Linked DNA regions of Ovis aries. The protein of the gene in region 2 interacts with the protein of the main gene of each other region in a biochemical or structural test. Links are inferred from orthologs where the notes say so. Each region holds a gene or a part of one and is shown on either strand. Other genes may lie near its edges.

Evidence for each region. The genes of interacting proteins can lie anywhere in the genome.
Region 1: the proteins of SPTBN2 (region 2) and ACTR1A form a complex in vitro, tested with the Homo sapiens proteins (2 studies listed by BioGRID). The link is inferred for Ovis aries from reciprocal best matches to the Homo sapiens genes SPTBN2 and ACTR1A.

The regions. Positions count from the first base shown.
Region 1 is NC_056075.1:22,874,511-22,878,596, reverse strand, and holds the start of ACTR1A (alpha-centractin), read left to right. Parts: upstream 1-1,279; 5' UTR 1,280-1,345; coding exon 1,346-1,393; intron 1,394-4,086. UniProt on the Homo sapiens protein: Part of the ACTR1A/ACTB filament around which the dynactin complex is built. The dynactin multiprotein complex activates the molecular motor dynein for ultra-processive transport along microtubules.
Region 2 is NC_056074.1:41,148,428-41,151,939, reverse strand, and holds part of SPTBN2 (spectrin beta chain, non-erythrocytic 2), read left to right. Parts: intron 1-87; coding exon 88-246; intron 247-571; coding exon 572-874; intron 875-2,028; coding exon 2,029-2,182; intron 2,183-2,402; coding exon 2,403-3,273; intron 3,274-3,512. UniProt on the Homo sapiens protein: Probably plays an important role in neuronal membrane skeleton.

The DNA of each region.
Region 1 (4,086 bases), on a different chromosome or scaffold from region 2:
CTCATCCTCTGTTGTCCCCGTCTCCTGCCCTCAATCCCTCCCAGCATCAGGGTCTTTTCAAATGAGTCAGCCCTTAGCATCAGGTGGCCAAAATATTATTGGAGCTTCAGCTTCAAAATCAGTCCTACAATGAACACCCAGGACTGATCTCCTTTAGGATGGACAGGTTGGATCTCCTTGCAGTCCAAGGGGCTCTCAAGAGTCTTCTCCAACACCACAGTTCAAAAGCATCAATTCTTCGGCGCTCAGCTTTCTTCACAGTCCAACTCTCACATCCATACATGACCACTGGAAAAACCATAGCCTTGACTAGATGGACCTTTGTTGGCAAAGTAATCTCTCTGCTTTTGAATATACTATCTAGGTTGGTCATAACTTTCCTTCCAAGGAAGAAGCATCTTTTAATTTCATGGCTGCAATCACCATCTGCAGTGATTTGGGAGCCCCCCAAAATAAAGTCTGACACTGTTTCCACTGTTTCCCATCTATTTCCCATGAAGTGATGGGACTGGATGCCATGATCTTCGTTTTCTGAATGTTGAGCTTTAAGCCAACTTTTTCACTCTCCTCTTTTACGTTCATCAAGAGGCTTTTAGTTCCTCTTCACCTTCTGCAATAAGGGTGGTGTCATCTGCATATCTGAGGTTATTGATATTTCTCCCGGCAATCTTGATTCCAGCTTGTGTTTCTTCCAGCCCAGCGTTTCTCATGATGTACTCAGCATATAAATTAAATAAGCAGCATGACAATATACAGCCTTGACGTACTCCTTTTCCTATTTGGAACCAGTCTGTTGTTCCATGCCCAGTTCTAACAGTTGCTTTCTGACCTGCATACAGGTGGTAGATGTTTATTAATGCCTTATAGACCCATATAAAAACATTGCAACCTCATATTGTCCAGGGGAAGTAGTGGCAAGTGGAAGGACTAGCCTGTAAAATCCAAACATTCACGAGTTACTAATCAATCCAAACCGAACTACAGACAATATTGAAGACTACATACTTCAGCTTGGACTGAGAATCCCTTCAAAGGGTCTACAGATCCAGACGCGAGATTGCAACCATCAATAGGCGTACCCTTCCATTTACCTACAGAAACTACAAAGCCCAGCGTACTGTGCGTCGAAACGCGACGCTCCGTTCCTTAAACTAGGCGGGGTTCCAAAGCAGCCTGGCTCGCTAATTCAGGTGCAAGGCATGTTGGGTATTGTAGTTCTTCGAAAGTGAGGTCGGGCCGCTCCCCGGCTGCCCAGTGCCGGCGGCTAGACTGCGCATGCGTGTCAGTGGCGTTAGCGGCGGACCGGGCTGGCAGTTCCTTCCTCGGAAGGAGAGGTTCTTCTGCCATGGAGTCCTACGATGTAATCGCCAACCAGCCTGTCGTGATCGACAACGTGAGTTGCATCCCCCTAGCAGGGCTTATGCTCTCCTCCCCGAAGGGATCGCTTCCCGTGTTTCAGTCTGGGCTGCCGGTTCTTTGTCACTGGCCCGGCCTGTCAGGCGGGTTCAGCCGCCGCCGCCTCTCTCCTCCCTCGAACCGAAGTCCGCAGATAGGGCGACCAGCTGGCCAGCAGCCATGAGAAGGAGAACCTTGGGATGGATAAAGGGAAGGGTTATAGTCCTAGCAGGGTCCTTGGGCCCTTGACTCAAGGGTCCTTAACCGCTCTGTGAGCCCCCGGCACCCGCCCCTCCCCAGTTTTCGATAACTCTATTGGCTGCTCTGGCTGTCCATCTTGACCGCTGACCCCGCCTCTGGGCCTTGCCGGATGGGGGCAGCCTTCTGCAATGATTGGCTCGTTCCCTTGCCGTTCTTCCGGGCCGCCATAGTGTTTCCTCTTTCAAAGGGCGGTGCGGTGCACGAGGGCTGTTGTGATTGGTTTCGGGGACTCCCAGTGGAGGGGGCAGACGGGCTAGGGCGGCGGGTGGAGCAGGGCTAAGTTTCCTTCGGTCCCAGCCGGTAGGGCGGCTTGGCGGTGTATCTGGGTGGGGTCTGAGAGTGTGATGCCAGAAATGGCCTGAGGATTTCAGTTACTTCTGTGATTATAAATTATACCGTTAATAAAGGTCGAGAAGAAAGGAGAATGACAAAGCAAGCAGGGAGGTACCTTCCTCTTTGAAACGCCTAGTTGCTGAGGGTAAAAATTACTAAATATAATACTTGCCAGGCGCTCCAGCGCTTACAACGGAGGGGTTCGCATACATTCCAGTTGGATCTTCACAACGTGAATAGTTAAGGCAGGAATTTTGATCCTCGTTTTACAAATGAGAAAACTGAAGCGCAAAAATGTAAAGTGAGCCCAAGGTCGCACTTTAATCCTGTGCTTTATCCGTTATTCATCCTGATAGTACCTACGCAAATGTATCAATAGTCACAAATCGAAAGAATCTAAATATAGCTCTTATTTCTGGCGGAAGGAGGCAGTTATTTAAAAAGTGACTGTCTTCCATTCAAAGGTTTAGTCCAATGGAGATTGGTTGCTACCTTTCTAGTCCCCTCTGAGTCCCTCTACTAAGGCAGAACTGCCAATTCGCTCTAAGCTGACTCAGATTCGGTTTCTTGATTCAGTCCTTGGGACCGTTGGCACTTGCAAGGTCCTTTAGTTTGCATCATCTTATTCAAGCTTCAACACTGATAGGTAGATAGGACTCTAAATATCCAGAAAAATGAAACGTGAAAGGTTAAATAACAGTATTCAAACCACCTGGCTTATGAATTGAAGAGCCAAGATTCAATTTGAGATTGAATTCTTAATTCCTCACTTCTTCCAAGGAAAGGTGCTTCTTTAGCTAGCTTTCTTTCCTTCTCTCCTGGAAAAAGGTTGAGCTCAGTGAGACACCTCATTTTGGGGAGGATCTGATCGGCGGGCAGGACAGGGAGGGTCTCGGATCTCCTTCCTTGGGCTATTGAATCCGGGTGGGAAAAGATGCTTGGTAGTCCTTCATTTTTCCTTAGTCTCTCGTTCCCCAGTTTCCTCCACACAGACAGTATCTAGGGCCTGGCACCACTAGGTGCACACTGGATTTTTAATTTTTATGGGTAGGGGGGATTAATGGCTGAAAATCTCTCACAGTAACAAAAATGTCCCTAAATAAAAGGATGGGAGGAAGGACTAGTTACTGCATAAGGTTGAGCAGGACTCTTTATTCTTGATGTTAATTTTCAGAGAACACTACTATTTCTATCTTCAGCCAGTTTGTGTATGCTTCATGTGCCTTTTTCTTGGTTTTAAAAAGAAAGAAAAAATAGAAATTAACAATTTCCTGTTTTCATCAGCAGTGCAAAAAGAGCAGTCTGTCCATCCCACCAGACCTTTTGCTTCTAGAATTGTTGGGCTGCAGTGTTATCTCCAACCATTTTCTTTATGTCACTTAAGCAAATGCTTCTTAGTTCCTTCTTTCTCATTCTTGAGAGTGTATTTGAAATGCATCAAAGCAGCGGTACCTTTTCAGTTTGAATACTTAAGGAATAGACTTGTTTTTCTCTGGGAAAACATTTCCTTTATTATGCCAGCAATCTCACCAAAAGGTGAAGTAGGAGAAACTTAAGTAATTTTCCCACTAGATCATTTAAAATATTTGAGCCAGCTTTATATTATGAGGATAACGTGTCTCTAGCAGATTTAACAGCTCCATAGTTTACCATGCTGCCACAGTTTTATTTCTGGGCTAAGTAGAGTGTAATTAAAAGACAGAAGAACAGAGAAAGCAAGGAAAAGAGAGAACAGCCCCATTATCGGTTCACAGCCTTTCCTAGTCTTAACGCAATTGTTGACCACCCCTTTCATAGAATTCTGGGACCAAACCAATTCATCAGAATTTAATGAAGATGGAAGGGTGTGTGTATGCATATGTGCACACGTGATTTAATGATGACAACAACAAAAAAAAGTGATGAGTATTTTAAAAAACTAAACATGTTGTTCTTCCCAAAGTCATATCACAGATAGTAGTACAAGAATGAGAAGGGCCACTCCCAGGACTACAACACTTTAATAGGAATACTATATTCTGAACTCAGATCTTTGGGAGGTTAAATACTTCCATAAAATGAATCAACATTATGGTCAATCTTAAAATTGTCTTTTCT
Region 2 (3,512 bases):
CTCAACCCCCCTCAGCCCCGTGAGCCCTCCCCTCTCTCGCTTCCTGAGCCCTGGCCCCTCAGTGCTAACCCCGTCTCCACCTCACAGGCCTGGGAGCGGCTCGAGAAAGCCGAGCACGAGCGTGAGCTGGCCCTGCGCACAGAGCTCATCCGCCAGGAGAAGCTGGAGCAGCTGGCCGCCCGCTTCGACCGCAAGGCCGCCATGCGGGAGACCTGGCTCAGCGAGAACCAGCGCCTGGTGTCTCAGGTAGGACGCAGGGGCTCCTGGCCCGCCCAGGCAGGTCTGGAGACATAGGGAGTGAGAAACAGAGGTGGATAAATAGCCCTGCCACGTGGGGAGCTAATGAAACAAGAACTCCATGGCTCAGATGAGCAGACCAAGAACCCGGGAACTGGAGGCTTGAACGGGAATAGGGCTGATGAGCCAGGATGGGATAGAACAGACGGGACGTCTAGAACCACCCCCTGGAGCTGGCGTCTTGCAGTTTGCTCTGGGGCGGGGGGGGGGGGGCAGGGGGTGAGCAGAGCAGTGGCCCCCAGCCCTCAGACCTCCCTCCCTGCCCCCTCCCCAGGACAACTTCGGCCTGGAGCTGGCCGCTGTGGAGGCAGCAGTGCGGAAGCACGAAGCCATTGAGACGGACATCGTGGCCTACAGCGGCCGGGTGCAGGCGGTGGACGCCGTGGCCGCAGAGCTGGCCGCCGAGCACTACCATGACATCAAGCGCATCGCCGCACGCCAGCACAACGTGGCGCGGCTCTGGGACTTCCTGCGGCAGATGGTGGCTGCCCGGCGGGAGAGGCTCCTCCTCAACCTGGAGCTGCAGAAGGTGTTCCAGGACCTGCTCTACCTCATGGACTGGATGGAAGAGATGAAGGTACCTGCGGATGCTGCAGTCGGGCCGAGATGGTCAGGACCGTGCTGGGGGGTGGCGATGAGCAGGTTCCCTCAGCTGCTCAGCCAGGTCTTTGCAGAGTGTGCACCAGTTTGGGGCCCTGTCCTTTGTTTAGATAAGCAGACTGCTCCCTGTCCTCATGGGGCTCACGTTCGAGGGGGAGGAGACTGATGATAAAACCCTTGGCCGGTCCGTAAACAACATAGCAGCTGGGCGTGAAACCTATGAGGAAACGGCAACAGGCCATGTGATGGAGTGGTCCAGGAGGGCCTCCCTGAAAAATGGCTTTTAAGCTGAGAGCAGAGTGTCCCAAGGAGCTCTGAGGAAAGAATGTTCCAGGCCAAAGGAACAGAAAGGCCCTGGGCTTGCTCATGTGTGGCATGTTCCAATGAGAAAGGAGGCCCTCAGGGACTGTAAGAACAGGGGCCGGGGGCGGGGGGTACAGGGGATGAGGTCAGAGAGGAAGTAGCCAGCTCACTTAAGGCTCACAGGCCTGGTCAAGGAGTTTGGATGTTACTCAGAGTAACATGGAACACTGAAGGTGCTTAGAAGGTTTTGAAAAGAAGAAGAGACGTGATTCTGCATTTTCACATTTTTTAAAATGTCACTTTGGCTGCTATTTGAAGAAGGGCTGTGGGCAGCCAGAGTGGGAGCTGAGAGACCAGTCTGAGGCTGTTGCAGTGATCCAGGCGAGAGATGGGGACATGGATAGGCCTGGAGAGACAATGACGATCTCGCTGGGGGGCTGGGGATGGAGCCGTGACCGTAGGAGGGCGGGGATAATTCTGGGGCCGAGAAAATGAGTCAGCGCAGAGATTCCTGGAGCAGGATTTAGTAAGAAAGTCGTTCCACAGGAGGGGAGTTGAGTGCAGAGGCCAGAGTGCCAGGACAGAGCTCAGGGGGTCCGTATGTGTGTGAGTGAGGACTGACGGACGGAAGCAGGCATGCTCACGTGGGTGCGATCAAGTGGAGCTGCCCAGAGAGTCGGGTTGTGCGGTTGATCCTTGGAAGACAGGATGAGGTGAGCACGTGTGTGTGTGTGTGCGCGCGCGCGTGTGTGGCGGGGCAAGAGCCTCGGCTCAGAGGGAACCGTGCAGCTCTCAGACGGGCATCAACATGCCCGGCGTGCCCCACAGGGCCGGCTGCAGTCCCAGGACCTGGGCAAACACCTAACGGGAGTGGAGGACCTGCTGCAGCTGCACGAGCTGGTGGAAGCTGACATTGCCGTGCAGGCCGAGAGGGTGCGGGCGGTCAGCGCCTCTGCACTGCGCTTCTGCGACCCTGGGAAAGGTGACAATGAGGGAAGGGACTGGGACAGAGAGGGGCTGAGAAGGAGGACAGTAAGAGCCGAGGCAGCAAGATGGGAAGAACCTGGGGACAGGAAAGGTGATGGGTGGTTTGTGGGTGGCAGAGTGAGAAGTGTGGGGTGGTGGGGGTTGGAACTGGGGGGTACACACAGGAGGCAGAGGGCGGGGCCACAGCTCTTGGCCCTCTGGTGTGACCTTTGCAGAGTACAAACCCTGTGACCCCCAGCTGGTGTCGGAGCGGGTGGCCACCCTGGAGAAGAGCTATGAGTCGCTGTGCGAACTGGCAGCGGCTCGCAGGGCCCGGCTGGAGGAGTCCCGGCGGCTCTGGCGCTTCCTCTGGGAGGTGGGCGAGGCCGAGGCCTGGGTGCGGGAACAGCAGCACCTCCTGGCCTCGGCAGAAACCGGCCGGGACCTGACCGGCGTCCTCCGCCTGCTCAACAAGCACACCGCCCTGCGGGGCGAGATGAGCGGCCGCCTGGGGCCCCTGAAGCTCACCCTGGAGCAGGGCCAGCAGTTAGTGGCCGAGGGCCACCCTGGGGCCGGCCAAGCGGCCGCCCGCACCGCCGAGCTCCAAGCCCAGTGGGAGCGGCTGGAAGCCCTGGCGGAGGAGCGGGCCCAGCGGCTCGCCCAGGCCGCCAGCCTCTACCAGTTTCAGGCGGACGCCAACGACATGGAGGCCTGGCTGGTGGACGCGCTGCGCCTGGTGTCCAGCCCTGAGCTGGGGCACGACGAGTTCTCCACACAGGCCCTGGCCCGGCAGCACCGGGCCCTGGAGGAAGAGATCCGGGGCCACCGGCCCACGCTGGACGCGCTGAGGGAACAGGCGGCGGCCCTGCCGCCCGCGCTGAGCCGCGCGCCTGAGGTGCAGGGCCGCGTGCCCACCCTGCAGCGGCACTATGAGGAGCTGCGGGCCCGGGCGGGCGAGCGTGCCCACGCCCTGGAGGCCGCCCTGGCTCTCTACACCATGCTCAGCGAGGCCGGGGCCTGCGGGCTCTGGGTGGAGGAGAAGGAGCAGTGGCTCAATGGGCTCGCCCTGCCTGAGCGCCTAGAGGACCTGGAGGTCGTGCAGCAGAGGTAGGTGCCCTGCCCCCTGCCCCCTGCCCCTCCACCCCGCTTCCAGACTGGCATTGTGAGCTGGGGGCCAGCGTGTGGGGTGACGTCCAGCCATAACCTGCCTGCTTCTGGTACCCCACTCTGAGTCTTAGCAGGCGTCCGTTTTTGGTTTTAATGAAAAATGTTAAACATACTCAGAAATAGAAACCTTATTCAACAGACTCAGCCAGATTCAATAATCATCAGCATCATGCTCTGTT